Linked DNA regions of Alligator mississippiensis. The protein of the gene in region 3 interacts with the protein of the main gene of each other region in a pairwise test. Links are inferred from orthologs where the notes say so. Each region holds a gene or a part of one and is shown on either strand. Other genes may lie near its edges. The genes, in order: heterogeneous nuclear ribonucleoprotein M, TAL2, LMO2 and IFT43.

Evidence for each region.
Region 1: the proteins of LMO2 (region 3) and heterogeneous nuclear ribonucleoprotein M interact in binary tests that used the Homo sapiens proteins (3 or more experiments, as listed by UniProt). The link is inferred for Alligator mississippiensis from reciprocal best matches to the Homo sapiens genes LMO2 and HNRNPM.
Region 2: the proteins of LMO2 (region 3) and TAL2 interact in a two-hybrid assay, tested with the Homo sapiens proteins (2 studies listed by BioGRID and IntAct). The link is inferred for Alligator mississippiensis from reciprocal best matches to the Homo sapiens genes LMO2 and TAL2.
Region 4: the proteins of LMO2 (region 3) and IFT43 interact in binary tests that used the Homo sapiens proteins (3 or more experiments, as listed by UniProt). The two-hybrid records come from large-scale screens. The link is inferred for Alligator mississippiensis from reciprocal best matches to the Homo sapiens genes LMO2 and IFT43.

What each region holds. Positions count from the first base shown.
Region 1 is NC_081839.1:10,276,270-10,283,922, forward strand, and holds the start of heterogeneous nuclear ribonucleoprotein M, read left to right. Parts: upstream 1-4,648; 5' UTR 4,649-4,743; intron 4,744-4,833; 5' UTR 4,834-4,849; coding exon 4,850-4,927; intron 4,928-6,900; coding exon 6,901-7,098; intron 7,099-7,653. Other genes in the region: heterogeneous nuclear ribonucleoprotein M-like, read left to right, coding at 3,824-3,888. UniProt on the Homo sapiens protein: Pre-mRNA binding protein in vivo, binds avidly to poly(G) and poly(U) RNA homopolymers in vitro. Involved in splicing.
Region 2 is NC_081826.1:158,376,203-158,383,637, forward strand, and holds the start of TAL2 (T-cell acute lymphocytic leukemia protein 2), read left to right. Parts: upstream 1-4,434; 5' UTR 4,435-7,435. Other genes in the region: ribitol-5-phosphate transferase FKTN, read left to right, coding at 1,292-1,505.
Region 3 is NC_081825.1:217,121,788-217,129,051, forward strand, and holds the start of LMO2 (rhombotin-2), read right to left. Parts: upstream 3,013-7,264; 5' UTR 2,815-3,012; coding exon 2,774-2,814; intron 1-2,773. UniProt on the Homo sapiens protein: Acts with TAL1/SCL to regulate red blood cell development. Also acts with LDB1 to maintain erythroid precursors in an immature state.
Region 4 is NC_081825.1:261,780,331-261,787,213, reverse strand, and holds the start of IFT43 (intraflagellar transport protein 43 homolog), read right to left. Parts: upstream 3,010-6,883; 5' UTR 2,989-3,009; coding exon 2,938-2,988; intron 1,925-2,937; coding exon 1,832-1,924; intron 1-1,831. UniProt on the Homo sapiens protein: As a component of IFT complex A (IFT-A), a complex required for retrograde ciliary transport and entry into cilia of G protein-coupled receptors (GPCRs), it is involved in ciliogenesis.

The DNA.
Region 1 (7,653 bases), on a different chromosome or scaffold from region 3:
CAAGCTTGTGTTTAGTGGTTATTTGAGATACTCTTGCAGCAGCCACAGCTAAAAGTGGTGCCATTGCCTTTTAAGCATCACAAATTAGGACAGCCTCCAGCTGCTCTGGATTACTAGCAGTGCTTTAAACTTTTGAGGTGGGCCTTTTGTGCATGAGTAGTAAACAGTGAAAGTATTCCAACAACAGAACCAGTGTTGGATCTGAATACATACTATATTGGAATTGTTTGGCTGGGAGGTACTTCCTCTGGCCTGCAGAATTTTGGCCATTTACTTAAAACTGAACAAGAACAGACAAAACTAGGCTAATGATGACACTGCAATGGCCCTTCTTTTCTAATCTTGAGTACAAGTTCATATGTTATAGAATCTAGACTCTTTTCTTTAACAAAAGGGTTAATTGCATCAATATTTTGGAGAAAGATAAAATACCTTTAATTTTCCCCTTCTCCCCTCTTGCACCTCACTTTTTTATTTTTAATCCAGGGGTTCTTTACACTCAGGAATAGGTCCCTGTGTAGAAAAGCATAGTTAATAAATGAAAATCTGGTCACAACTCACTCTGCACTTTCTCTGTGCCGAAGCAATTTAATTCTCTAAGAACTGGTCTTCAAAGACTACTCTGTAACTCCCAGAGTCAAAATATGATGTGGATCTAATTTATAGCTCACTGCTCCTGGAGATGGAAAATTCTTATGTCAATCTATGGGGAGAGAGTGCCTACAGAAATGCATGGTAACAGCTATATAGTTGCACACACCAGCAGGAGTTGCTTTGTTTAAAAGTTTAGTGTTTTTACAATTTCAGAGCAGTGTAAAAACACTATAATATTTTCAGTAAATGCTATGGACCAACAGGGTGCTTGGTTTTTTTTGCCTGAAATGCCAGCAAACTGAACTTTCCTAAGTGCATTTAGAAATAAGGTGCAAAACAACTATGGTACTTCTCTGTGGGAAGCGACAAAATAACTGGCAGTTTAAATTGGCTTTGTTTTTCTGAAAACAAATTATTCCTAAACTTGTATTGTCTCCACAACTCCTTTCCCAACTATTGTCAAAGCAAGACAAGACACTTTGTGTATGCAATGTTTTCTTGCCATGTAAATCAATTAATTTTAATCTTTGGAACTAAATTCTGTGCACATTAATTGTTTAGTGACAAGCTGAAATAGTCTCATCAGACAATCACTGTACAAAAGGGTGGTGTCTCTGCCCTTTTCTGCTTACACATTCCTATAAAGGAAAGCACTGTTGTGATTCTTGAAGTGAGGAGAGGTATCCCAGTATCTGGCATTGGAGTACTTTGTTGACTGACTTGCTTCTCTGTCCACTTTTGCAGGCTGTCCTTGCCTGTTGCTTGCTAACCAATAACTTTGTATTCCTGATGCTTGCGTGATCTTCTAATACCCAGTCCAGGTGAGGAAAACATAGTACATTTTGGGATCTAGGTAGATCTCAAAAGACCTCATGAGACCCTGTCAGGGTAAGATAGTCTAAGAACTGGAGTTCTTTGACTTCTGTCTACCTGGAACCATACCATGCAACTACAAATGCATTCTGCATTTAGGACGTGTTTATTTCTGTTCTAGAATTGCTTTTTTGGATGCTGGGCTAGCATACCATTGAATTCCTGTTCTGAAATCTGGATACTCCTAGGAAGCCCATTGACTATTCTTAAAGAAAGTGATTTTTAAAGAGAGTAATTTTAAGATATAGCTTGTTTAAAACTTTAATATTGAGAGCCCTGATCAAAATTGGTACCAATTATAAGGTCCTCAGAGGGCTATTAAATTTAATGCTACAGCAGACTCCACTGAATCTTGTGGTTGAAAGATCAGAACTTCATTTAAAAGGCCATTAAGTTAATTAAAAGATGCTCTTAAAATCGGCTTTTAAATGTAGCTTTCTTACAATTGAGCCTGTGACCCTGGCAAAACCTGTTTTGGAAGGGTTGTGATCTTGTGTAGCAGCAGTTGAAGCTGACTTAATTTGGTGTGCAGAGTAATTCCTTTCATATTGACTAATTGCACATTGATCAGCAAAAAGTCATCCATTTCTAAGCTTGTGAATCTCGTTTTTTGGCTTTTTTGAAATGGGGTTTGTAGCTAATCTGGCAATTCTTAAATTAGCAAGAATGCAAATTAGATCTAAAACAATGTGGTTGGATTATGATGCCTGCTGTTTAAATGAATGGCATTCAGAATTTTGATAATGTTGACTATCTGACATTGATACTTTGGCAGGGCTTTTCAAAGTGGGCTATATGCTGCCTACATACAAAGCCTTTGTTTTTTCAGTTGCATGTCAGGATGTCAGTAAAAAAAAAAAAATCTGTAGCTTAGATCAGGGTAAAATTCTTCTTGGAACTGTCTCTAGAGGCATAGCTCAAATACTCATTTGTTATGCTATATCTGCTGATTTCCTTTCACTTTCCACTATGGATGGATCCAAATGGGAGAGTGGATATGGTGATGTCTAGCTTCAGAAACTACAAAGTTTTCTATTTCTGACTGCTTCTGGAAAGGAATTTCCAAACCCTTCAGGTAGCTAAGTAAATACTACTTATATGCTATAACACATTAGTCTCTTAACATGGGTGATGAAATAAATCTTTCTCCTCTAGCCCTGTGAAGAGAAGTAGGAAGGAAGCTGCTGACAGACATGGGGGGGGGAGGGGGAACCCAAAAACATCACTTTACTAGAAGAGAAAGCATGTTAGTTTGACCCAGCTCCCCAGCATCTATGGAATCCTCACTCTGGGGCTTTTTGGCACTTCTATATAAAGCCGATTTGAATCAGCTATTGGATAAAGGTGCCAGAAAGCACCGCTGAAGTGTGCAGTCTATGCCAATGTTGGGTGAGCCGTGTGACTTCTGGGCATGCGCTGGGCTCGGCCTGGCGGCACACCGATCTTAAAGTAAAGCGCTGTTTCATTTTTTGTTTGTTTTTCACATCTGTAAACAGATGTAAACAGAAAAACTCCTTTTTGTGTATTAAGATTTACTAAAAGACTGTGCTTGCCCCTTTCATAGCTGGAAGTCCTCTTATGTTGTCTTTAAGAGGGGTGGAAACTTCAAAGTATTTGGATATAGTCAGTGTGACAAGCCAGAAAAATAAATCCAAATAGGTTTCTCAGCTATATTTCTGCATGCCATTTATTACTAACTCAGCAGCTAGGTAGCTGTATTCTGAAGGCATAGAAACTAGTTGCAGTATTCATGAGGTGGGAGTCCTAATTGTGTGGAAAAATGCAGATTTATTTTTCCTACAAATTTTGACTTTTTGCTACAGATTTTAAAAACTTTATTTTAGTTTCTTGTCTTGGGCATGAAGATTATAGTAATGTTAATGGAGACTGTGTTGAAATAAATAATGGGCTTCAAGTTCTACTTTTACTTAGTGGAGGAAGGTATACTAAGCAAACTAAAATTACTGTTGAATACCTGATTATTGGAGATAATTGGGTCCAGTTTTGTTTTTAAAAATTCCCTCCTGTCCTTGAAAAATCCAGAGTGAAGCGTATGCTTCTGTTATATCTAGACGGAAACAGACTTTCCCATGGTAATGAGTGGGTCTTTAAAGACTGAGGAAACTGATATTGTGGAAATAGATGGTCTTGCAGTGGAGGAAAATCAAGGACATAAAATATTTAACTTTACTGCACATCTGTAATTCTCCAGTTCGGTGGTTTAGAGAATATGGAGTGTTTCTGGGCTTTCTTATAAGGCAGAGGCTCCATACAAGGTTGTTGATTGTTCTAAATTCCCATTGTTTTCTTGGCTTTTCTCCCTTGGTATATGTGTCGTCTGGAATCTGATTTGTAGTTGGTGAGGTAACATACGTGGAGCTCTTAATGGACGCTGAAGGAAAGTCAAGGGTAAGTGTTTGAGAGAATTTCTTCTGTGGATTTACTACATGACAAATGTAACTGTATGGTGGCGTGGAACCGAATGAAATCAGGAAGGTAGAGAGTGTGGATGTATAGTGGCTATAATACGTAGGTACAGCCCAAAGCCTCTTTTTGGGATGGGGAGGAGGTGGGACGGGATTTGTAGACAGTGTCAGCATTGTCTTCCACTGTGCTCAGTCGGTGTTGGCTGTGTGAATTACGCATGGACCCTCGTGATATGGTATATTAACGTAAAACTTGTGTCTTGGAAAATGTCACTGTAGTGGTTTGCTGAATTTGTAAGATCAGTGTGCAAAAGCAGGTTCTGTAAACATTATGCTTCCTTTGCCAGAAAAGAAGTCATATCTTTAAAGCTAAATGTACTTATTCTTAGTAGGTAACAAATGACTTCCAGTCAAATGAAATAATGTTTTAGAAAAATTTAGGGTGAGCTAACTTTTTAATTGTACGAAAGGGATATGATTTTTAGGATGAGAACATGGCAAGGATTTTGATGTACTATTGAGAACACGAAATATAAAATGTGTGGTGTTTTCTTGGAGAACCTGGACTTAGTTCTGCTTATTACAACTTCAGAAACTACAATATAACCCTAATAATGTATTAAGGGTTAATGTGGTATCCAGGTAATGAAGTTTTATATTGGGTAAGGCTTGTGTTTTGTACTTGCTTTTCTTATTGGGATTAAATTGCAAAGTAGTTTTAATGAATACTTTTTTTTTTTAAGTTAATTTTTTTCACTTTGTGTTTTTTCTTTTTACTTACTTTCTTTTCTCTCTTCCCTCCTACCCTCCTTGTTACTCACCTGTGAAATCACCACATCAAGGGATGCGCGTAAGTTTTATTTATCAATTTTGTTTTTTGCAGGGGATGGGGAAACTTCAAACTACAAGCAACATTCTTAGCTGTTTTGTCTCCCCACAGTGTTGTTGAATTCAAGATGGAAGAGAGCATGAGAAAAGCTGCAGAGGTTTTGAACAAGCATAGTCTTGGTGGAAGACCACTGAAAGTGAAAGAAGTAAGGCACTACACTTTTTTTTTCCTTGTAGTATTTTTGTTTTTAACATGAAGAGATTGGGCTAACTAAAGCAAGCCCCCTCCCCCCCCCCCCCAATAAATTTTGGATCCAAAACCTTTTAAGTATAAGCATCCAAAACTTCTAAATGTAAGTCTGTCTTGGGCCTGGTGCAGTTCAGCAGGTTTTATTATAGCTTTGGCTGCTGGACTAGACAGACTGCTTTTTAAGCAGATTTTCAGACAAACTGGGAAGCATTGAGAACACCTTGGAGGACAAGAGCCCAGTTCAGAAGGATCTTGATAAATGTGAAAGCTCAGCTAGAGACAACAGGATGATGTTTGCTGACAATTGTAAGGTGCTACATATTGAGAATGATCAAAAACAAAATGGGTGACACATGGCTGGATGGCAGCACTATAGAAAAGGATGTAAGAGTCTTGGTGGTTCACAGACTATAATTCTGCAGTGACAGCTGCACATTTGGGCTGCATCAGTACAGAGCATTCAGTGCAAAACATACGGGAGCTGATAGTACCTCTTCACTCAGCAGGGGCTAGGCCTCATCTAGACTATTTTGCAGTTTTGGGCGCTTATGTTTTTAAAGGGATGTGAAGAAGTTTAGAAGAGGTCCAGAGGCAATGAGAATAATGATAAAGAGCTTGGAAGGTTTGCCACATGGGGAGAGGCATGTTCAGCTTGCAGAAAACATGCTTGAGAGGGGGCATGATGGCTATCTCATTGGCTGTGATAAAGAAGAGGGAGAATGCATCCCATCCTCTGCAGCAATGAAAGAAGGCAGACAGATAGCTTAAAGATGCAGCAGAGTAGGCTTAGATTGGATATCAGGAAAAACTGCTTCACTGTTGGAACAGTGCTGCAGTGGAATAGACTGCCTCGGGAAGTTGTGAAATCTTGGTCATTGGAGGTTTGTTTTCAAGAGATTGGACGAGCATTGTCAAAGGTGATCTACAAGTAAGTATGTCTGCAGTGTGCTGTAAAGAACAGTTGAAAGTCTAGGAGCTAGAATATGTATATGGGTTGGATATAGAAAGAGCAATTCTGGCTGTCCAGTTAGGTATGCGTGAAGTCATGCTTGCCGTCTTCACCTTTCATTCTGCTCTGCAGTCTGTTGTCAGCTTTTTTCCTCCCATGCTTCTGGGTTTTCCTGGGTGCTGCATGAGTTGGAGAGGATTTTTTTTCCCCTTCTGTTGCTACAGGTGTCAGGGTTTCCCCACTTCCCCCACCTTCCTCAGTAGCTTTGGTTGTTGGTTGTAGCCAAGGCTGGAGCCTTGATTGGGATGTACCAGTGCTGGTACTGGAATTAAACCCAGAGGTTTCTTGTTAGAGGCCTTGCCCCTCTTTTCAGACCTGTTGCCTTATTGGGGGTCAGGAATGAATTTTATTCTGTGGTCACATTGGTATGGACTTTGGGTTTTGTTTTGTTTTGTTTTGTTTTTTTCCTTCTTTGTAGTTGTGGGGGAAGTCCTGTGTCCTAGGTTAAGTGTTCAACACCCCAATGTATTTTTAAAAGGAAATTAAAGTGAGAATCACTGGACATCAGGAACTTAGAAAGACAAGAAAACAACAATCTTCTAGCTTTTCAAGATTAGGAACCAAGAGCATCTGATTAGACTTTCCCTCCTGCCACAAACAACCCTTTAATATACTGTTGTACTGCTATTTATCACTTTTTGGGGGGGTACTCCTTCAGACGGCTTTCATTTGAATCTGTTTTTAACTTTACTAGTATGGCTCTTGAATTACTATGATTGTTTTGATGTTAACAGGAAAAGGAATAAGAAGTTAAGATTGGACACACAAGAGCTTATAATATAGAAGGGTTTATTATGATTCTTGTACTGATTCGGCATTTAAATTTCCATGTGGTTACTGAAAACGCAGCATTGGCTCCAGGGTCAAACTGAGGAGTTCAGTGCATCATGGTAGCTTATGGTGCGTGTTTACTGTTGCAGGATCCTGATGGGGAGCATGCTAGAAGAGCAATGCAGAAGGTGATGGCAGCAGCTGGTGGGATGGGCATTGGCCCAGGACCAGGTGGCCCTGGAATGATTAATATCCCACCCAGCATCCTCAACAATCCCAACATACCCAATGAGATTATTCATGCCTTACAGGCTGGGAGACTTGGAAGCACTGTCTTTGTTGCTAATGTAAGTACACTCTCCTGTTTGACAGTAGATTTAGGCTCTAGCTGAATTAAGGATACCTTAGTTTGGGAAACTAAAGAGTAGTACTCCTTTGCAAAAAGCCCTGTTTGTCTTCAGTTTAGGGATGTAAATATTGTTTAAAAAAATATTCATTTAACCTCCTCAAATTATATCGGTTAAATGGTTAATGGATAACACAGCAGCTTAGATACTGCTGAGGCTGGGAGCTGCTCCCAGGGCCCTTTGCCTGGGGTGGGGAAGGTAGTGGCAAGCCCAGCCAGACAACACAGCTCACATGCAGCCTGGTGCTGGGAGGGAGGGAACACTGGTGAAGGAGCAGCTTATTGCTTAATTGACAAGTCATTAGGCTGTCTGCTGTTTTCCTCTTAGGCTATGTCTTCCTTGCCCTTCCTCCTCATTTCTCCCTCCCTCCCTTCTGCCTGCCTGCCTTGCTGCCTTCTGGTTCCTGCTAGGGCACCTTCTGCTCCTGCTCCCCCTCTACCCCCCACCCATTTCCCTCAGACTATACCTGCCTTGAGTTAAGTGATAATTATTAAG
Region 2 (7,435 bases), on a different chromosome or scaffold from region 3:
TTTTGGGTGGTAGAATGACACTGCTTCATTTTCACCTGTGGAGCCTTATTCTGATCAAATGGAAGTCTTGGACCAGTGTAACCCACTGAACTCAGTGGAGTTGTTGCAGATTTACACTGGGTCTGCTAATGTGAGATGTCAGGGTGGTTTGAAAGAATCAATTATTTAATCTGTCTGAGTGAGCAAAGCAAGAATCAGAAGTGTGGGGGGGAGGAAATGGCACCTTAATATCGAGCAGCTGCTGTATGACCTGGCACTTTATTTAAACACAAGTGTCAGTGTAGAAATGGATGACACTGCTTAATCAGTTTGAGGAAAGGTAGAAACTTTTGGCCTTTTTTTTAAGCATTTCATCCACTCATTTCTCTATACCAATGTATTGGTGCACTTCTACATCATATTATTATTTTGCTTTCATAAGCCCTCTAGCCACCATTATTACACTTAACCAAAGTGACAAAGTTTTGTAACGGCCTCCTTTGTATTGCCACCTCAGATTTTGTTAGCAGGCTCATTGCCTTCCATTAACTCTTATGGAAAACGAACTGTTCCATACAACCTGAAAAACAATGTTAAAGTATTGTGCACTAAAGCATTAGGAAATACCAGAATTAAAGCCTTCTACTAGAGGCTGTTGGGTGGAGGCCACTGTTCCTTTTACTCCCCATTTATCCATGGTCCTCTTCATACCTTGCCAGCATAGCTGAGAAAATGGATCTGGCTTTCCTGCAGTGGGAAAATCAGCGTAGTGTACATAAGACCTATGTTCTTAGGATCTGAGAACCTTCATTTGTGTCCTATGCACTCTGTTATCACCTGGGGATTGCTAGATTGTCTCATTCTGGTAATGGTGTGAGAAAGGGAAAGGGCCTCTATAAAGCCCTTGCAATTGCCATTGCTTCTTGCACCACAACAGGTTTGCTTTTTTTGGCCACATGTACATGAGACACAAGTACTAAATGATTGCGTAGTAACTGACGTTACTGCGCAGTAGCATCCCTGAACAGCTTTTTGGTGGCACTGACTGTGCAGTAGCTCATTCCTACTGCGCAGGAGTAATGAGCTACTGCTCATTTAGCGTCCTTTGTGTATTTTTAAAGACCGCTTATCTACAGAGGTGCAATCAGTGCAGTGCACTAAGCACATAGACATAGTAATACTCAAGCTTTACAATGATTGGTAATCATTAATATGAGTGAAATGCTGTAGTGACTGACTAGGTGTCCTTATTGAATGTTATGCCTGCATTCTAGCCTTCTGTTAATGGTTGTGGTCTTTTACTCTGACATAGGTACCTGTTTCCGAAGTTTACACTGTGTTGGACTGAGTTTGTAGAACTCAAGGTACGTGTGCCCTGCGAAACCCTGCAGTATATTGAAGCCAACTATGGCAAGGACTGGAAGGAACCTGTGAAGACATGGGACTGGAAAAGCTCTCCACCCAATGTACAGTACAATGGAATGTGGCCTGTTGATGAATGGGATGATGTCATTCAAGTCTACTGATCACCTGGATGTTATTAGAATGTGTTTGGTGCCATTGGACCTATCCAGTACCCCTTACTCCAAATTTTTAAGAACAATTTTCATCCATTTTCAAAGGAGATGTTTAATTTTATCTCACGTAACAGATACTGCACGTACTACTCTATACATCTACATCAGGCATTCCCCCAGACAGCTAGAGAATGAAGGTTGTATGTTGCAGTTGAGCAGACAACTGGGAGAAAGAGGTAGAAGGGCAATGATAGAATTGAAATAGAGTTATGGCAAAAAAAGTTAAAACTTGAGCCATGGCCAGATGCCTTGACTTAATTCAGTTTGGCCTCTGACCTTGGGATTGTTACTTCCCTAGCTATAGGAGAATGGAAGTCACAGAGGTTGACCCTTGCGGAAAGGGGGGATTTGGTTTGCCTAGAGCAGTGGTAGCCAACCTTTTTGGAAGGAGTGCCACAGATTAGCCCTGCACCATCCCCAGATGCCACTCACATCCCTATCCCTTGCATGATCTGCTGCTCTTTTTTCTGCTCTGTGCAGTTTCTGCCACTGTGCTGCCTGCCCTCTCCCCAGTCTGCCACATGCCATACACACAGGCTGCCCTTGCTGCTTGTGGCTCTCGTGCCACAGGTTGGCCACCTTTGGCTTAAAGTATCCATATTAAAGTGATATAGAAAAAAAAATTTGATCAACTGATGTGAAGCACTCCTACGAGCTGTAGCAGTCAGGTGAGCCTCAGGTTGCTGGCATATTGTTCAGTTACTCAGAGCACATGTGACTGCATTGTGAAACAGCATAAATGATCTATGTTGGGGTTGCATAGGTAGTCCTAAATAAAAAGTTGGGGAAGCCTCAAGAGCATTTTGCACATTGGAGGACATTTGGCCCTCCTTGTATTATGTCCCAAGGAAATCTGGGTTTGGAAGCCTGGTAACAAAAGAGAGGTTTTCTGTTAACTACTTTGTGGAAGTGTGCTGGGGAATATTATCCACAGTTTAATTATAATGTGAAGCCATATGCAGCAGGTAAATGCTTCATATGAAAGGCAGTCACTTATTCCATTCTTTGAAGTTTTAATCATGGTTTTCAACCTGGGATTTGCAAATTATTTTTTGTAACCATCCTTGTTTTCTTTTTGGATAGAAAGAAGTGGGGTGTTGAAATGTCTAAGTAGCACTACTCTAGTTTTTAAATGTAAATACAAGCTAATAATCTGTATACTACTGCTGCCATCTTGATTTACAACAGTGTAATCAAAAGTCTCCTACTGGGTTAACACTGAACTAAATTTTACACAGGGATGTATCCTATGTTGTTTATTGCACTTTTGATCAGTGCATTAAACTTCTTCATTTGTACTTTGAGAGGAAGCTGTTGGTGAATAATTGGGTTCGGTTAGAAACTGCTTGAATGCATCTAGGGAGAAATGAGTCAAAAGTGCTCTCAGTGGAGTTGGCAAAGTTACCCTACTTTAAATTGTTTTAGTCCCTGTCGGAGGACAAGACAAGAGCTGGGGGCGTTACTAATGGTATGACTGCCGAGTGTACTGGCACAAACCCTGGGGCACTTGGGTGCTTTCATTTGGTGTTAAGCATCCTTCATATATTTATATACAAGTCTGAAGACAGTGTTTCCTTTCTAGAGCATTATGACTGTATCCAAGTCACTGCTTCTCTGTCAGCAGCTGGTTAGATAGGACAAATCTTAGGTGTGTATTTAATTGTTATCTATCCATCCAGTTTTGCAGGTGTATGTGTTCAAGTTAACACAGTTTTGAAGAGCTAAAATAGCAGCTGCTATGTGGCTGTTTTACTGCTACACCATTCAGAGTGCACTCTGGGGCTTCCCTGGGATTTATACCCAAGAGCGCACTGTACACTTATTTCCTGCCAACCTTCCCAGTTCCTGAATGCTCCTGCCACTGAATGCTAAGCTAAATTATTCAGCATTTGGCAAATACTTTAAAAATTGTCACATCCTTAATTACCTGGAGTACTTTAAACACTACGGTAACCACAGGGATTTTGCTAAATTAGGTATGGGAAGAGGTAAAATTCTGCTGATGTGTTTACTTGGTGAGGTGTGAAGCATTGTCTGAAGGGAAGAGTTTTGTTTCTCAGGTAGATTTTTTTTTTTTTTTGGCGTTGTTTTCTGTTATAAATGGCTGAAGGCCAATTTTCTTATGATGTTATATAGAGCTCTATGTTGTCATGCAGTTTGGTAATTGAAAATGGTACAGTAGCTCTTTATACTTTTTTTTTTTTTTTTTTTTTTTAAATGTCACAGAAGGGAAAAGATAAGGTACTATCAGGATAGACAGTTTGCAGTTTGTCAAGTTTATGACTGTAACGGAAATAACAAAAAAATGCACATGCTTCAAGCGAAACAGAGTGTTTAAATGTCTGACTTTATGGTATCTATTTAATTTATTGTACATGTTAAAATACTTTCTCTTCAGAAGATACAGATTGTATTTTGTAACACCAATTAACTAATTAAGAGTTTAGTTAACATGTCAACATTCTGAGTTACCCTTTGTGCTCTGTTATCTAAGGCAGGGGTCAGCAACCCTAGGGCCGTGGACCAGATTTGGCCCACAAAGATTGCTCTGGCTCCTGAAGCTGCGATTGCAGTAGTGGCCAGGTCACAGGCCCACCTTAGTGCCATTAATTTGGTTCACCACTGCTAAAAGGTTGCTGACCCCTGACTTTGGGACAGTATTTTTCAGTACTGTTATTTACTGTGAAATAATATGGAAAAAAATGGTTTTGATTTTTTGTTTTCTATTGTTTATTGACTGTGTTTTACCTTAAGTTTTTATTAATAAACTCTGAAAACAGTGATAGCTGCTCAAATGTCAAAGATTTCAAAGTTTGAAATTTGACTGTATGAACATGACATGGGGGTGGAGGTGGTATTAGGTTAGTTTTTCACTTCACTTGTTGGAAACCATTTGTATCTTTGTTGTCACACCAATGTGGAAAAAAGGTTAAATCTTTGTTGCAGTCTTACTTGGACAGCTAAGCTTTCTCCTGTTTAAACTGTTGCTAAGCTTTTTGACTCAGGATTTTCATTCATCTATTTACAAGGTCTGCCTCTTGGTGAAATCAGATTTTTATTTCCCACCATCCCTTTCTCTGCAGACTTTCCACGATCATCTGAAAATACAAAAGGGCAATAGCAACAATAAGAAATTCCTAATATTTGGCATCCCAGTAGCAATGTCTACAGCAGGGGTAGGCAACCCTGGGCACGGGTGTCAGAGTGTGGCACATGAAGGCACTTTGCTTGGCATGTGCACCTTGGGGGTGGACGCCAGGGAAGAGGCCAGGGCTGCGCTGCCACAACAAGGATTGGGCCCCTCACAGCTCCCCTGCCATCCACTCCTGGCACACCAACTTCTTACAAGCCGAGCTTGCAGGTGTTTTTGCACTCTATCCTAAAATGTTGCTGACCCCTGGCCTACAGGTTTGTCCTACCTCTAGAACAGGGCTGGTAAACTCATTTGCCACCCTATAGGCTGGATGAGTGGTTTTGGGTTGGTCTGGTCCACAGACTGGTCCTGCAATCCAGATCCATCATGTGTCCCAGAGTGGCCAGAGGGGGTATTGGCATGCAGTGTACCTGGAGTAGGTGCCACATGCGGTGGTGGATCCAGCATGGAGCCACTGCTGCATGTGGCACACACAGCCATCCAGCACACCCTGCATGCTGCATCTGTGGGCTTACTCGAGACCTTCAGGCACCACTGAGGGACAGTTTATAGGGCTTCATTGCCTGGTCCAGCCTGCAGGCCATATCTTTGACGTCCCTACGCTAGAAGGTATCTGGCTTGCTTTCTTCATTTGTTAACTTACTGCTTTGCATTCCAGGAATCTTAGCTTTTAATTTATTATGATGAAAGAGCTAAAGCAGAGCAAGACATTATAAAGCAGCAAGAAAATGAGGTTTTACTGCAAGCAAATGAGGTAATGATGACAAACCCTGTTTATCACAACCCCCTGACTAACAATCCCAAAAGCAGAAACTGACTTTTTTGGGTTTTTAATTATGGTGCAGCAGATTTAACTAATCCTATTTTAGCAAACACCTTCTTTTAAAGAAGTTTTCTCTCAGTCCAACAGGGTTTGTTGTAATGAGCTTGTACTGAACACCAGGGCAGATTTAAACTTGGGGGGAGAGGCTGCATCAATTTTGCAAAATTTCTGCAGGCCCACATTTGAGAAACTCCATATTACAACTTCTTCTAAACAGGCATTGTTCCTATGAGGATAATTCAGGTTGTATCAGCCAGCCAGTGAGTTGTTATGCTCTGAAACCAAAAACATTTTCTTGTGCTTTATCCTCTTAGTATGTGGTTACCCCTTTCATGCTGGAGATCATTATAGCTTTATTCATACCTTGTTATGCCATACATTACTCCACTATTGCTTCAGGCAAACAAAAGCCAGTCTGACCCAACTTAATTGCTTGTGTCCTGCAAGCCACATTTTCCAATAACTCAAGGATTATGGTTGATAATATTTGCTTCCTGAACACTTCTGTCTGCTCACAGTTTTATTTTTAACATGGTTTAAAGAGGCACTGTTGAGCACGTGGTCTTTTTTTCCAGAAGAAGTATTGGAGATGGGCATGCATAACCTGGTGAATCACTTTTTTTTTTACCACTAGAATTGCTTTAAAGCAATTGCTTGTCATGGCTTTCTGCAGGTTGTTTCCTACTGTAGCAGGTTAGATGCCTGAGGACCATTATCATGCCCCCTACAGGTCCCCTAACTCCTAACAGATTATCTCTCTACACTCTTTTAAGGTCTCACCTTGCGTTCTTTCCTGCCACGTCTTGATGGAAACTTTATGAAAGGGAGGCTGCCCTCAGAGACTGGCAAACTTAAGGTGCTCTCTCTCTTATCCAGTGATTGATTCTCTCAACTTTGCTTGCCTTTAAGAGCTTATTGCATTGCTCCGTCCGTCCCTATACCACACCCCTTGCCTCACAGGTGTTTTGAGTCAGTAATCTGATGTGACACTTGTCCCTAAGTCACCAGGCCACCTCAGGCCTTCATTCCTTTATTGAGACTTCAGGCTTCCTGGTTGGTACCTTAGCCAAGGCCCTTTGTTCTCAACCTGGCTTCTGGGTCCCAGCCCCATGTTCTGCCTCATCAGGGTTCTGGGCCCTGTGGCCCCAACGCTCTAGGCACTCTAGCTATGCCTTGAGCCTGCCACAACAGGACTCAAGGCAATTGCATGCCCCTAGGGCACTAATGGCACCTCCAAGAAACACCCCTTACAGTCTGTCCCTGCCTGCCCCTCCTTTCCTTCAAGAGGGATGTGGATAACCTTGAGAGGGTTCAGAGGAGGGCCACTCGCATGGTTAGGGGCCTGCAGGCAAAACCCTACAAGGAGAGAGCGACGGCCTTGGATCTCGGGGCCTATGCAAGAGAAGGCTGAGAGGTGATCTTGTGGCTGCCTGCAAATCCAGCGGGGGGGTGGCGGATGGACAGCAAGGAATAGGAGATGCCCTGTTTACCAGGGCACCCCTTGGAGTAACTAGGAACAACAGCCACAAACTGACAGAGCAGATTCAGGTTAGACATCAGGAAGAACTTATGGCAAGGGTTGCCAGAATCTGAAATGGGCTTCCAAGGGAGGTGGTGCTCTCCCCTGCCTTGGGGGTCTTTAAGAGGAGGCTGGACATGCACCTGGCTGGAGTCATCTGACCCCAGCCCTCTTTCCTGCCCTGGGCAGGAGGTTGGACTCTATGATCTGCTAAGGCCCCTTCTGACCCAAACATCTATGAATCTATAAACATTCACTCCTGGCCTGAACCACCAGGCTGTCTCATGTACCAGGCCCTACTTACTGACTGTAGGTATCTAGGTTGCAGGTTGTCTCTCCTCAGCCAGGCAGTCTCCTTTAGCCTCCCTGTACTCAGAGCTCCT
Region 3 (7,264 bases):
TCTGATCCCAGTGTACTACATGGACTTTAGACCACCATAGTTCTATGAATTTCAAGGAGTTATGGCTGATTTACACACCGGGGAAAGAAAATCAGCCACCCACCTCCTCCCCATTCTTTTTTGTAGTACTATATTAAAGGGCACTTTTGCACAATTCCAAAGTAACATTTTATTCCTATCCTATCATTTGTAACAAGCACTAAAATAAAGAGCAGATGCACTAATACAAGAGGGCTAAAGCTATACTTTTTTTGCAAATATGTTTACTTAAGAAAGTCTCAGTGTTGCCTTTTTGCAAGTTCTAGCAATACTATGAGCAAAAATTACAAGACTAGACTGTGGACTCAATCCAGCAAGGAGCAGAGCATGCTGGCCCCACTCCCACCAAGCATTTAGGGCCACATCCAAAGCTCAGTAAAGCCAATGGAATGATTCCATTGGATCAGAACTTTAAGCACACACTTAACTTTAAGCATGTGACTTGTGCCATCCATTTACTCAAGTAGTTTGCTGGATTGGGGTCAGACAGTGCCCAACGCCTTGCAGAAATTAGCCCTAAATTCTTAGGTACATCATTCAGTTATTGGTATAGCCAACGGTCTGTTGACAATTTGCTGGCGGCCTGTACCCTGCCAAACCTGGGGGGGGGGGAGGAAACAGAGCATAACTATACTGAGAGAAGTCAGCACAACTACTCTGAGTGCAGTCAGCACTTCCCGCAGGCTGCAGATACTAACATTTTTCGATCCCCTCGAGTTATATTATGCAGGACTTCATCAGACTTTATTTACTGGGAAAATAGCTTTCAAGTAAAAAGGACTTTCTTCAGGGTCTGAAATATGTACTGTGCTCCCTGACTTCCCAACAAGGCCTGATCCTGCTGTTTTTATGCAAGCAGAACTCCCAGAGCAGTCAGGATTTGGTGCCGATAAAGAATCTGTCTGCCTGCAAGCACTTCTATTTTTCACTGTCACAGTGCATGCTGTTCTGTCCTCTTACTGTCTCATGACTACCAGCCCCCACCTTCCCCTCTCTCCCCACAGCCCACTACACGTGGCATTGCTAGCAGAGTCATAGGGAGTTGCTACAAGCAGAGGATCAGGCCCTAGATTTTCAGAGCATACGCTCTGTTTCTCTGGTCCATTCAGTGCAACCGACACTGCATATAGAACTACAAAGGAATTTTATGCCGACTTGAAAACATCATGTTCTAAAGAACACAGAACACAGCATTTGTCTAAAGCAAATCCAATGGACTTATACTGTAGCAGTTCCTCTACCATAAATGTATCTCTCTTTGTAAGATTTGTGTGCCCTATGATATTTTATATTATTCTTGTCCCTTTTCTTGTCAGTTCAGGATCTACGACTGAGTTATTTGAAACCCTATTTTGGCTACTAGCATCCTAAATTCTGAAATAGCCTAGTAGAAGTTTATTTGGAATTGGATTTCAGGGGGAGATTTTTTTTTATGAATTTGACTGTCACCGCCTGTAATAATTCACCAGAACACCAACTAAATAAAAAAAAAATGTTTCAATTTTGTAGCTGAAATTCAGGTAGGACAGAGGGGGGAAACTACCACAGAGGTTACATTATAATTCCTTAAAAAGCAGAATATGAGGAAAAACTAGCTAACTACCTTAGCATCCCTGTGAGCAATGCATGAGAGGAGGGCTTCAAAAGATGATATTCTTAAATGCTTTGCAGGAAACAAATCCCAGATTAATGAAGCCTTTTATAGGAGGGAGGGAAACAATGATTTAAGCTTTACTTTGGACACTAGAATTGTTGAAGTTTTGGTTTTTATTCTGTGCTGTCACGATGCCAAGGAGGCACAGACCAAGTCTGAGGCACTGCTGCAATGGAGATGCGCAGCCCTGGAATTGAGTGCCATGACACCACATGGTTGGGCTGAATTAACACGCTTCTCACAAGCGTGGGTCTGCGTGTGCTTGGGTCTGAAGGGATGCCTGCAGGAAATACACTGGAAGAGCCAGCTCAGAAGGCTCCTGTCAGATCCTGAATGTAACCACCCTCTTTCCACAAACCTAGTCAAAAAGAAAGACAAGGCTCCCTTTAGACTTCCCCCTACCTACAATTCTTTGCTCTTCTCAAGATCCCTGGTCCATTTTGGCATCTCCATCCTTAGAGGTTTTGCAGACCCAGGCAGACAGAGCCTCCGCTGGAATGATCTAGCTGGGGACAGCCCTGCTTTGAGGGGGGGGGGGGGATGGACTAGATGTCCTCCCTGAGCTCCTTTCCAACCCTCTTTTCAGCCACCCCCCAGCCAGGCAGTTAATACCATCTCTCGAAAGTTTCAAACTGCCTCTGGCCTGATGAAAATGTGGAAGTTGAGCACCCATCAGATAACAGCTCTGACCTTTCAGTCTAGTCAGCTGGGGAGGGGGGGCAGATCAAACATGGGGCAGACTGCAACACTCCTCAAGCTTTGGGGAAGTCTGGCTGGGGCTTCGCTGGATCTCCAGGAGAGAAGGGAAAGAGATGGGGAGGGATGGCTGGTGGCTCCCCCCCTCCCAAAGCCCGTGTGCTGGGATGAAGCCAGGACCTGGCTTCGGCTCCAAATGGAGAAGCTGGGCTGCACGCCGGTCCCCACCCGCCATCCTCGCACGCCAGAGCCCTGCGCGCTGTCAGGCAGCCGGGGGAGGCAAAGGCAGCCGGGCTCTCTCACCTCTCCCTCCGGAGCTCGCCAGGTCCCGGACAGCACCGGCACCCCGGGAAAGAAAAGGGGTGAGGGGGAGCTGGCACTTACTCGGAGGGGTCGAGGCTTTTCCTCTCGATGGCCGAGGACATTGGCAGGCTGGGCGGCGGTGGGATGCGCCCCCACAAAGGCAAGGCGGTGTGCTCCGGTGCCTGGTCGCCCGCGGAGTTTCCCCTCCGCCCCCCAAGGGCACGGGCGGGATTTCCTCCTGCCGCACCACAGACGCGCACACAAAGCGGGCTGGGCTGGGCTGGGCTGGGCTGGGCTGGGCCGGGGCGTCCGCGGGGCTGACCCTCCGGAGCCGGCTACCCTCCCATCTCCGCGCCCAGCTGTCACTGCCGCGCCCCCCGCCCGGGCAGCTCTGGGCACGCCGGGCCGAGCGGGCTCTCTGCAGAGGCGGCGCCCAGCCCCAGCATCATGAGGGCGAGCGAGCGCAGCCCCGAGCCCCCGCTTTCATTTCCTCTTCCCCCGGCACGACTCCGATACAATGGAAGGAAATCACGCTCCGACACACAGCTGCCCGGCCCGGCTCGGCTCCCCCTGGCCCGCGGGCGGGGGCGGCCGCGCACGCAGCAGCATCCCGCGGGGCCGCCGGCTTAAAGGGCCAGGCGGGCTCTGCCTGAGCCAGGGCTGGGACCGCAGCGGGGCGGGGGGTGCTCCGCAACGGAGGGCAACACTTCTGGGAAATGCCCCTCAGGGCTGGTTTGCTTTTAAAGCGCCCCCTACTACGTTACTGGCCAAAGGCACTTAGGTGCCCTCTCCATCCACCCCCCTTTGCTCAAGGCTTCGAGATCAGGGCATGAAGCACCCACTATTATTTCACCGAAATGCCCTCTGCATCCAACCCCTTTGCCCCAGGCTTCGAGATCAGGGCATAAAGCACCCCCTACTATGTTACTGGCACAGCCAAAGGCATTAAGTGTCTTCCTCATACAAACCCCTTTGCCCAAGGCCTTGAGATCAGGGAATGAAGCATCCCCTACTATTTTACTGAAATGCTCTCTTCACCCAATCCCTTTGCCCAAGGCTTTGAGATCAAGGCATAAAGCACCCCCTACAATGTTACTGGCACAGCCAAAGGCATCAAAATGCCCTCTTCATCCAACACCTTTGCCCAAGGCTTTCAGATCAGGGCATAAAACACCCCCTACTTTGGCACAGCCAAAGACACTTAAGTGCCCTCCCCATCCAACCCCCTTTGCTCAGGGCTTTGAGATGAGGGCATAAAGCACACACTACAGCAGAACCAAGCCTACCCTGATCTGTGTCATCCGTGCCTGTGTCTCTCCTCTGTGCCTCATATAGTCACTGGTGTCTGCACAATTGTCCTGCTTAGTAGCAATATAAGAAATTTATATCTTGCCGGTGTTTGCCACTAATGAGCTATAAAAGCTCTGGCATGGAAAGGCTTGATGTGAAATGAATCATGCCTAAGCTAGAAATGGGGAAGACCCTTCGGAACCTGCCACCTCTCTCCTGCCTCTTGTCCCTCTTCACCCCAACTCCCTAGCAAGGCAGGATGGTTCTCTCCAGCCTGTTCTGGTGCCAAGTGATTTATGCTATTGAAATTAAACCTATTATTGCAATTACAGCCCTTTTTTTTTGTCCTGTGAATGAAGCATGAGGTGTTGGCTGTTGCTGGGGGCAAGGTCCTGGAGTAGGTGAACTGTCTGCTCCAGTAATTCCTATAAATACAGTGGAAAGCACTAGTGACTCCAAGGAATACCTCATTTATCTATTATTCCCATTTCAGAAATTTCATCTAAAGTCTATTTTGTGACTTTTTTCTAATCTTTTCTCCACCCCCTGACCCAGTTCTTTGGCAACCAGGGGAATAAGAACCTGAAACACATTAAAGGGCTAAGTTCAAAGTCCAGTGATGTCAAGGGAAACACTCCTGCTGAATTCAAGGGGCTTGGACCAGGCTTTATCAAATCTTTAGAGCGCTGGTTTTCAACCTGTGGTCCACAGACCCCTGGTGGTCCACAGGCTATGTCCAAGGGGTCCATAAAAAATAATTATGATCAATCAAAAGTATGTGAACACCCACACTTACAATTCAAAGCACCTCCATTCAAAATTTCCAAAGGGGTCTGCACCTCTGTTTGCAAGTTTTTTTAAGGGTCTGCAAATGAAAAAAAGTTGAAAACCACAGCTTTAGAGCCATCATTGATCATTAGGAAATGCCACCCTGTTTCCTTAAATAGCCTGTCTCTAATACACTTTAAACTCTTACAGTGTGATAACCACTCTGCTAATCAAATATTTTTGGTCAAAGAAAAATAGCTTTATAGGCAGGATTGAATTATATTCTGAATACTTAATGTCACATATATTGACTTTATGATCAGGAGTAAAAAATAAACCTTTCTGAGAGACAGAATAATTAAACTATTAAAAGCCAGAATAATTCAGCTGCCTGAACTTGATGGCAGCTTTATGGATTAGAAACAAAGTTTAAAGGGGGATTAAGAATATATATAAGGACTGCAATTAAAAAAAAAATCATGGTTAAAATAAAAGGACCAAGGATTGTGGGGAAAAAATTAACTTTTTACAATAAATGGAAGGGGCCAGATTCAGCCATCAGTTAATTTTGTGCAATAACTGTTTCCATAATTAAATGCCAGACTCCAGAGAATTGCACAGGTATAAAAGCAGAAAAGCAGAATTTGGCCTAGTGTATCTTATTATTTTTATATAATATAATGCACTTGAACCTGGTTGAATTTGAAACTCTAAATCTGAAAACAGATCATACAGATTCACAGTTCCATACTCAACACAAAGTATGTGTAGAGTAGGATTTTTCCAAGGGGTTTTACTCCCAAGGTGGGCCAATGATCAAAGTGTTTGTTCTAAAAGTCTTTTTAATAATAAAAAAAAATGTGTTTCTTATTTCAAAAAACAAGGAAATGCCAATATAAAGGAAGGACCTATTGGATACAGTCCAGCCACAGTCTAAACCTAACAATGGGTGAAAACCTTCAAACAAAATATGTAGGGTTGAATCCTGCAAGGTGCAGAAACTTCTCACTGGACATCATTGACCTCAAATGGAGCATCTCTGCCCTGGTCTGGACGTAGATGTCAAGCAGAGAAAACTCCTTCAAGTCAGTGAGACACTTTGGGCAGGAACCTATTTCACTGTATGCCCTCAAATGGCACTTACCCAGCTGTGTAACAACAGTTTGTGACACTTGATGCTTACACACAGGATGACCAAGCACCCACATGGCTACTGAGCATACTCTGTAGGTTATATTCTGGTTGTGCAGCTATGTAGCACCATACGTGTATACCTGGGTGAGCAAAAACCCTAAAACTGTAGGCAGATAAAAACTGGTGGCAAGTAGGTATTTGAAGAAGGGAGAATGGGTAACCTCCCATGTTTTAGCCCAATAGACTAGGGGTTATGGAACTCCCCCAAAAAGTGGTAGATCTAGGTTGCAGGGCTTCCTCACTCAGACGGAGGTTGAGTCTATACCTTCTGTTTCCAACAGTGCTCTAAGCACCAGGTTGCAGGTTAGGTATTATGCACATTGCTCTCCTTAAAGCTGAGCCACTGCACCTTGCATTTATCACTTGGCAAAGTGGATGGATGGAGAACAGTGGAAAAGTTTGTGTCCCACTGGGCACAAAGTGCCAAAGTAGAATCTAGGGACTTCTCTTTTCCAGGGAATCAGGCATGTCACTGAACCATATAGCCTCCAGCTTGTTTTCTTCCTCCTGGCCCTACATAGCTCTTTATTTCTTGGCTGCCCAGGGAAGAAGAGGCAGAAGAGAGAATTGTATAATGTCTAACCCATGGCCAGGTGGTAGACCACTTTGCTAATAACCAAGAGATGGAGGGAGGGGACTATAACCTGTAACCCCTGTTTCCTTGATAAGAGCCTCAATGATTTGCTTATTATGCTAAAACCTGGTGGAGACCCTCTTCCAACATCTAACAGCCATTAGTTATTGGCTTTTTCCCAGATATAAATTGAGGATTTACATGAATATGATGCCTGGCCAGGGCACAACCTACTAAGAATACTTAGCATCTTTGTGAACACTTATACGTCTAGGCTACATGTAGAAGAGGACCGCAAACTATGCATAAGGGTCAAAAACTGCAGTTACATGGCAAGGTAAATGCTATTTGGGCACATAAATGAAATAGGACTATGCCCCTCATGTTCTTGAAGTTAAGCTCACTGAAATGCTTTTTCTGGATTTAACTAATAGGAACCTCTACCACAAATGAAAGACTGAAGAAAGTGGGAAGCAGCTGGTTAATGGTGAATATACCGGAGGAAGCTTTTTACATGTTTTGTCATTGTGCTGTCTGCCAGGTACAGGTCCTGGTCAGGCTTTCACATCATGGACAAATTGTCCAAAGGTGACATAATCAGTTCGTTAATTGGAGGGTATGTAAAAGTGCTGGCAGTGCCACATGAATCATATAGATACTACCTACATACAGATCTTTAGAATAGTGGGGCAATGACCAGGAGAAGAAGCTGTCTTATTCTCCTTCTTTTCCATGGAAGTAAGATG
Region 4 (6,883 bases), about 45 Mb from region 3:
GCCAGGGTCATTTGACCCCAGTACTCTTTCCTGCCATGGCAGGGGGTCAGACTAGATGATTTCCTCAGGTCCCTTCCAACTATCAACTATGAAACTACGAAATCAATTTGCCCAATATGGTCATAAGTGGAAACAGAGAGTACTTAATAAGGGACACATGCTGGAGACAGACCATTATGTCTCTTTCCACAAACCTTTTGTAGACTCCTCTGTAGAATGTCAAATCTACTCCTTGTGAGCTCCCAGTGAGGGGAAGATGTGAAATGAACCTCTACTTCGCTCAGCAGAAAAGACTATACTTTCTTCAAAGATGGTGTTGTTCCATTAGGTGTGACCCGTCTAAGGATACCATTAAAGTCCATACCAAAGATACCTCTTTAACCTGGCAATTTAGATATCATCCACTAAAATCTCTTGAGGAGAATTTACTGTGCTACCAAGCTGACTAATAAGTTACTTGGTACCACATATGATCTAGGTACCACAGAAGCAGTCAGTATCATGGTGGAAAGTGCTGGGGTCCCGAGTAGAGAGGCATCTGGCACAGAGAGTCTAGTTACCAAAACATCTGCATCACAGCTAGTACCAAGGGTAGAGCAGTGTCTTGACTTTAAAGGACATTGCACACACAGTCTTGGAGGGCAGTATCAAGCACCTAAAAGGGCCTTTAAATAATGCCTTTACAGCCATTAAACAAGTGATTCAAGACAAGTCACAAGTCTAGTGATTTGTATTACTGTCTGTATGCAAAGTGCCAGGGACAGCAACCAGGGACATGGCTCTTTTCTGGAGCAGTGCTCTGTTCTGCCCCTGTCAGATAAATGAAAACTGGAACACAGGGTGAAATCTCAGCTCATCGGGGTACTAACGAAAAGACAGACCAAAAAGGGATGAGGCCCTGGCATAACCTCCCTGCTGGTAGCTGAGGAAACTATCATTCTTTCAAAAAGTTAAGGAACTCCAGGCCAGCTTCCCTTCACTCTGAATGAGCCTGAAGGAAGCAATGGACAGAACTTTGCTCTGGGATGTGGGGAAGATGTCTATCATTAACAAGCATCAAAGCATCACAAGGATAGTTCTCAAATCCTGCTGATTTAATTTCTGTCATGAAACTAGTTCCTCTTATAGACCCTTTATAGGGTCTAACCTAATGAAAGCTTATCCAAGGAAAAAATGCTTTTTTCTCTCTTTTTTTTTTTTTAAACCAGCAGGCAATTATAAAAAACTATGGTTCTAACATGTACAGTGAGTAGAGAAAGAGTAGATGCTCCCAAGACTTCTGTCTTGCTATGATTGAGGGTAAAAAGGAGCTAACAGGTGGCTGTGCCTGGGAGTGCTGAAGAGTCTGAACACTGGGGAGCATGCAACAGCATCTAGGATACAGACACAGCCCCCTGGACACGGGTAGCTAAGACAATCTGATCTTGCAAGCACGAAGTAAGTGTACAAAGGAGAGAATCCAAAACTGGGGAAAAAGCACTCAAAGCAACAGCTGCATTCACCCCTCTTTTCCCCACAACAGGTCCTGGGTCCCCCATACCATCCTGTTCTGAACTCCCATGCAGGCATCTCTCTCTCAGAAAATCATGGCCTCATATCTAATCCCCTGTACAATACTCCATTTTGAAGAGGCCAGCACAGCACTGAGACACTGGAAAGCACTTTCAGTAAGAAAAAATGGTGCTATGGACTCTAGCTGTAAGAGCACATCTCACAGCACAGGGGCCAAGACAAGATCCTACAAGATATGAAGAACTTTCTAATGGGGATAGCATCAGGTTTTAGTTGCAGCCTATACTGCAGACACGTGGTCCAGCCCCTGGGCACCCACCTCGCCTATTGAAGCTGTAGAGGAATTCTTCCTGCTGAGATGATTTTCATCTGGAAAGGAATCCTGGCGAGCTCGTCGACCCATCTTTGCCACCTATAAGGGCACAGAGCACAGTTACTGACAATGGCATCCTGAGGGCACTGCCAACATGGAAACACAAACAAGCTTCCCCGCTACAATGTTTACCCAGTGCAGTGATGCCCAAACAGACCAAGAATACCAGCAGCAGGTGCCCCTTTGTCTACCGCCCACACAGCCACTTTCCACATCACACCATATGCCTGGCTCGCACTCCTGGAGCCAAGTCACAAAACCACTAACCTTCTTCAAGCCACTACTCAAAAATCTAACTCTGCAACAATGTCCATAAAAAGGCATAGCCAGTTAATAGGTGCACACACGAGGGGAGCTGACACTCGAGCCTGTGTTGAACAGGACTGTAAAATTGTACCACTTAATCATATCCACCCCCCGCCTTGCCCCATATTCCACGTGTCACCTTAGCCTGCCAGTGATTCAATGCCCAGGCTGCAGCTCTCCATGCAATGAAGCCCTGGCACTGATGTGGGTCTGTGGCCACCACGGCAATAGAAATGCAATAAAACGTGGTGATCAAAGGCAAAGAGCTGCTGCTCCTCGGGCCAAGTTACCAGGGCCACCTGCCCAGCCTCCTCCAGGGAACATCCTCAGCTCAAACAGAACCACAGGCCTGGCTACAAGCGCTGGCACAGAGATACCAGGGGAGCAACATTGCCAAATCAAGTCCCTGCTGGAACCCACGCTTGGCCCAAAGGACAGGGCCAGGCGGAGGAGGCTTCACCTTGCTCCCGGGATGCGGGTTCAATTCAAAACAAGAGTCGGGGCTGGGGCAGCTCCTCCTCCACGTCCCAGTGGCGGGAGTGAGAGGCACAAGCGGCAGAAGCAGGGCTACAGGGACCTGCGGAAGGCAGCGAGGCCCGCACCCAGCCCAGCCCGTAGCCCGCCCTGGGCAAACCCAGGCGGCCCCGCCGCGGCCACGGGACGCCGCTCCTGCGCGTGCCAAAGCCAAGCAGGAGGGGCCAGCGCCGCCCCCCCACAGGAGTGGAAATGGATCCGTCCGATCTCACCGCAGAACCCCCCCGTCGCGCACCCTCGCCCAGCTCCAACTCGGCCTCCATGCCGCGCCAGGCCCCGCCCACTTCCGGGAAAGACCCCGCCCCTCCGCGTCCCTAGCAACTGAGCCGCCCCCTCCCCACCTTAAAGGGGCTCGGGCGGCGGGCAGGGAGCTCGGAGGGCAGCGGCGGAGCGGGCGCACATAAAGGGGAAGCTGCACTGGAACGAGGGGGAGCCGTGGGTCAAGGTGAGGTTCGAGTTGCCCGGATCCGCCCCGCTAGGAGCGCAGCGCAGCGCAGCGCAGCGAAGGCGGCTGGGCCCGGCCCGGCCCTCCCCGCCCCCGCCCCGCCACGCCACGCACGTCCCGCCCTGTTGCCACGTGCAGAGAATGGTCCTATTTGCGGGATAACAGCAAACTGTGTACCATGCCCGATCAATCCCAGTGAAAGTGTTCAAACTGTGCAATCATTTTGGAGGCAGCTCATTGGCGCAGAGTATGCAAAACCCAAGTCACTCTCAGGGGTTGCGCCTACACGTGCACATTTACTCCGCAGTAAGTTAGGTTACAGCGCACTAACTGAAAATAACCGCGCAGTATGGGCGTGCCTATACAGTGTAGTTAGTACTAACTGTAGTGTAGTATTGCTGTGTGCTGCTGATTCGCTGCCATGTGCCCGGCTGCTGTTTACCAAGGGTGGACTTCAAGGATGACCAATAAAACCAGTGTGTGGGCAGCACCACTAGGGGAGGACTGGATAGATTCCAGCTATTCTGTGAGATCAGATCTGGTTTTCAAACCGGCTGGACATTGTCAGTGACAGTGATCCCTCTCTGAAGTACTTGATTAGTCTGCAATGGCAGCTGATTTTAGGGAGGTGTGCTAAGGATGAAAGGGTTCACATGACAAGCACTTCCAGTCCTAAGGACAAGGTTCTGGTGCTGATGTCTGTGAGGATAAGCACAGAATTAAATGTGAAGCTGGTTTGTTGCAGCTTCCTTTTAAGGGTCAGTACCGCATGTTAAGTATGGGGTCATGGTAAGGAACTTTAAATGTACCTAACAAGATACGCTTGAGGAGAAGACAGTGTGTATGGAGGGTGGAACAGAGCATGACTGTCACATTGCTTTGGTTCTCTCTGAACTGCTCAGACATGGCTCATCTAATCCCCACTACAGACCATTCCCCGTCACCCCCACACTCACCACAGCTATCCAAATCATAGCACTAAATCAGACTCTAATGAACTATTATTGCTCCTGTGATTGTCTAAAGCATATCTATGCCCCTCTTTATGTGTGCACCATTAATTATTGGCATAAAAGCAAAGTTCTAGAAGCAGCCAGTGACCAGGTTCACTTGGTCTTTCTTCTGCATTTAGTTTATATGTAAAGTGGTTTAACAGACTGCTGATGTGTACATGGGCCAATTCGTTTTTGTTACCACACAAAACTCAAGACAATGATGCAAACGAGAAATGTCATTCTGGTGGTTTCTGCAGTTTGGGCTCCAGAGGTCTACAAATATTTATGCGAGAGGCAAGGATTTTTTGGGGTGAGATCCTTTATTGGATCAACTGTATAGCTGGGATAAAGTTAGACAAGTTTTCAGATAGAATCATAGAGAAGTTGGGCTGGAAGAGGCCTCCAGAGGTCATCTAATCCAACTCCCTGCCTGAAGAAGGATCATTCCAAACCATCCTATACAACCCATAATCTGAACTCTACATAAGACTACCATCAACACAGACCTAACACCCTAACCTGCCACAGGTAAAGCAGGGGAACCACAGCAGCCAATGTCCTGCTCCAATGAAATGTCAATATATACCCAAGAGATATAGGACAGAGGGCCAGGCTTCCTGCTATAGACAAAGGCAAAAACCCTGCAGTCCATATCAAACTGACCATGGGGTAAAATTCCTTCCTGACCCCAAACATGGCAATTGCTCTGACCCTCCAGCTTTGGTGCCTAGTAGCCAGGAACTTCCAGCTTTGGTCCCAGTAGGAGCACTGGCATACCTCAGTCAAAATCTCCAGCTTTGGCTGTAATCAACACCCAATGTCTCTGAGGAAGGCTTAACAGCACCCTGACACATATAGCAGAAAGAGGGGTAGAGGTAGACAAGGTCAACCAAAAAATCCCAGAAGAATGGGAAATACTCATAGTAGAAAATAAGTATAGCTATTCTTAGATCATCCTTAACCAATGACTGTCCAACATCTTGAACATCTCCAGTGCTGGAGAGTTCACAACTTCCCTAGGCAGCCTATTCCACTGCCTCACTATTCTAACAGTGAAGATGTTTTTCCAGATATCCAATCTAAATTTACTTTGCTGCAATTTCAAGCCATTGACCCCACATCCTCCTCTCTGGAACAAGAGGAAAAAGATTCTTTCCCACTTCTTTGTGGCAGCCCTTCAAATATTTGCTCTTAAGCACCTTTTCTGCAAGCTGAACATGCTTAGCTGCTTCTGCTTTTCCTCATACAACTTGCTTTCCAAGTCCTTTATCATCTTTGTTGCCTGCCTCTAGATCCTCTCTAACTTCTCCATGTCCTTTTTAAAATCTGGAACCCAGAACTGCATGCAGTACTCCAGATGAGGTCTAACCAGTGCCAAGTAGAGAGGCACTATCACCTCACATGTCTTGCACCTAATGATGCATCCCAAAACTGCATTTGCCTTTTGTATGGCTGCATCACACTGTAGACTCATCTTGGTAAAACCAGGTCTTTGTGATGCCAATCAGATCATAGTTCTTTTCACCGGCTTCAGCTTCCAGCTCATCTTGTTTATTAACCATACTTCTCACAACTGTACACATGCATTGGATGTATTTTGCATTTTGACCTACTCGCTTCCCTTTTGCACCAGTTGTTGCAATCCTGTAGATCTCTGGCCCTTTCCCAGAGTTAAGTTGCTTCTTTGAGTCCTTTCCCCTCTGAATTGTGTGCCCTGTTGCTAGAGGGTTTTGATCACCATTCTCCATGGAACCTAGTTTAAAGCCATCCTTACCAGGTTGGTCGGATAATGCCTAAAGATACTCTTCTCCATTCTCATCAGCTGGATCCCATCTCTTGATAGCAGTCCTCTTCCCAAGAACATCGACCCATTTTTGAAGAAGCCTAAGTCTTCACATTGACACCACTGTCTCAGGCACTTCCAGGATACAATGATTTCTCCCTGAATTCTTGCCTTCCACAGAAAAAAAATTGATGAAAACACCATTTGTGCTCCAAGCTCCTTAATCCTCCTGCCAAGCGCCTCAGAGTCACCTCTGATCTGCTCATTGTAATTCCTGACAGTACTGTTGGTTCCTACATGGACAAGCAGGAAGGGATAGGGATGGATGAGCTTTGGTAGTCTCTCTGTGACATCCTGAATTTGAGCTCCAGGCAGGCAGTACATCCCCCAGGCCCTCAAGCTCTCAGCACCACTTAGATTTGGCAGTCAGGGCTACCAAGTGTCAGACACTTCATTCATGTATTGAACAACACTTCCACGTTTCACCACAGTTTAGCTGGGCACTGATGCCTCAGTGCTGTGTGACTGTCCAGCAGTTGCTTCTCTGAGCCACCAGGGGCTGTTCTTCACTTGGATTATACTAGAACACATGTTGGCAACCTAAAACCCACGAGCCAGATCCAGCCTGCAGAGCTATTTTATCTGGGCTACAGAGCCGAGGGATTTTAGCAGTGGAAGACTTTACCTGTGCAGCAGCTGGGCAGCAAGGAGAATTGGCATAAGTGCAAAGGGAGTGAATATTCTGGCTTCGGCAACACAGACTGGGTTGGAAGCAGCCCCTGAGCAGTCAAGCTCTGCTAAAGTGGCCCCCTACTGCAGAAATGTTACCAACCACTAGCCTAAAGGACCATCCAGAAGGAGAAGGAGAGTGACCTACTGTCACTGGCATTTCAGCAGTCTGGAGCTCCTTCAACCCTCTCAGCAGATGAGCTGCT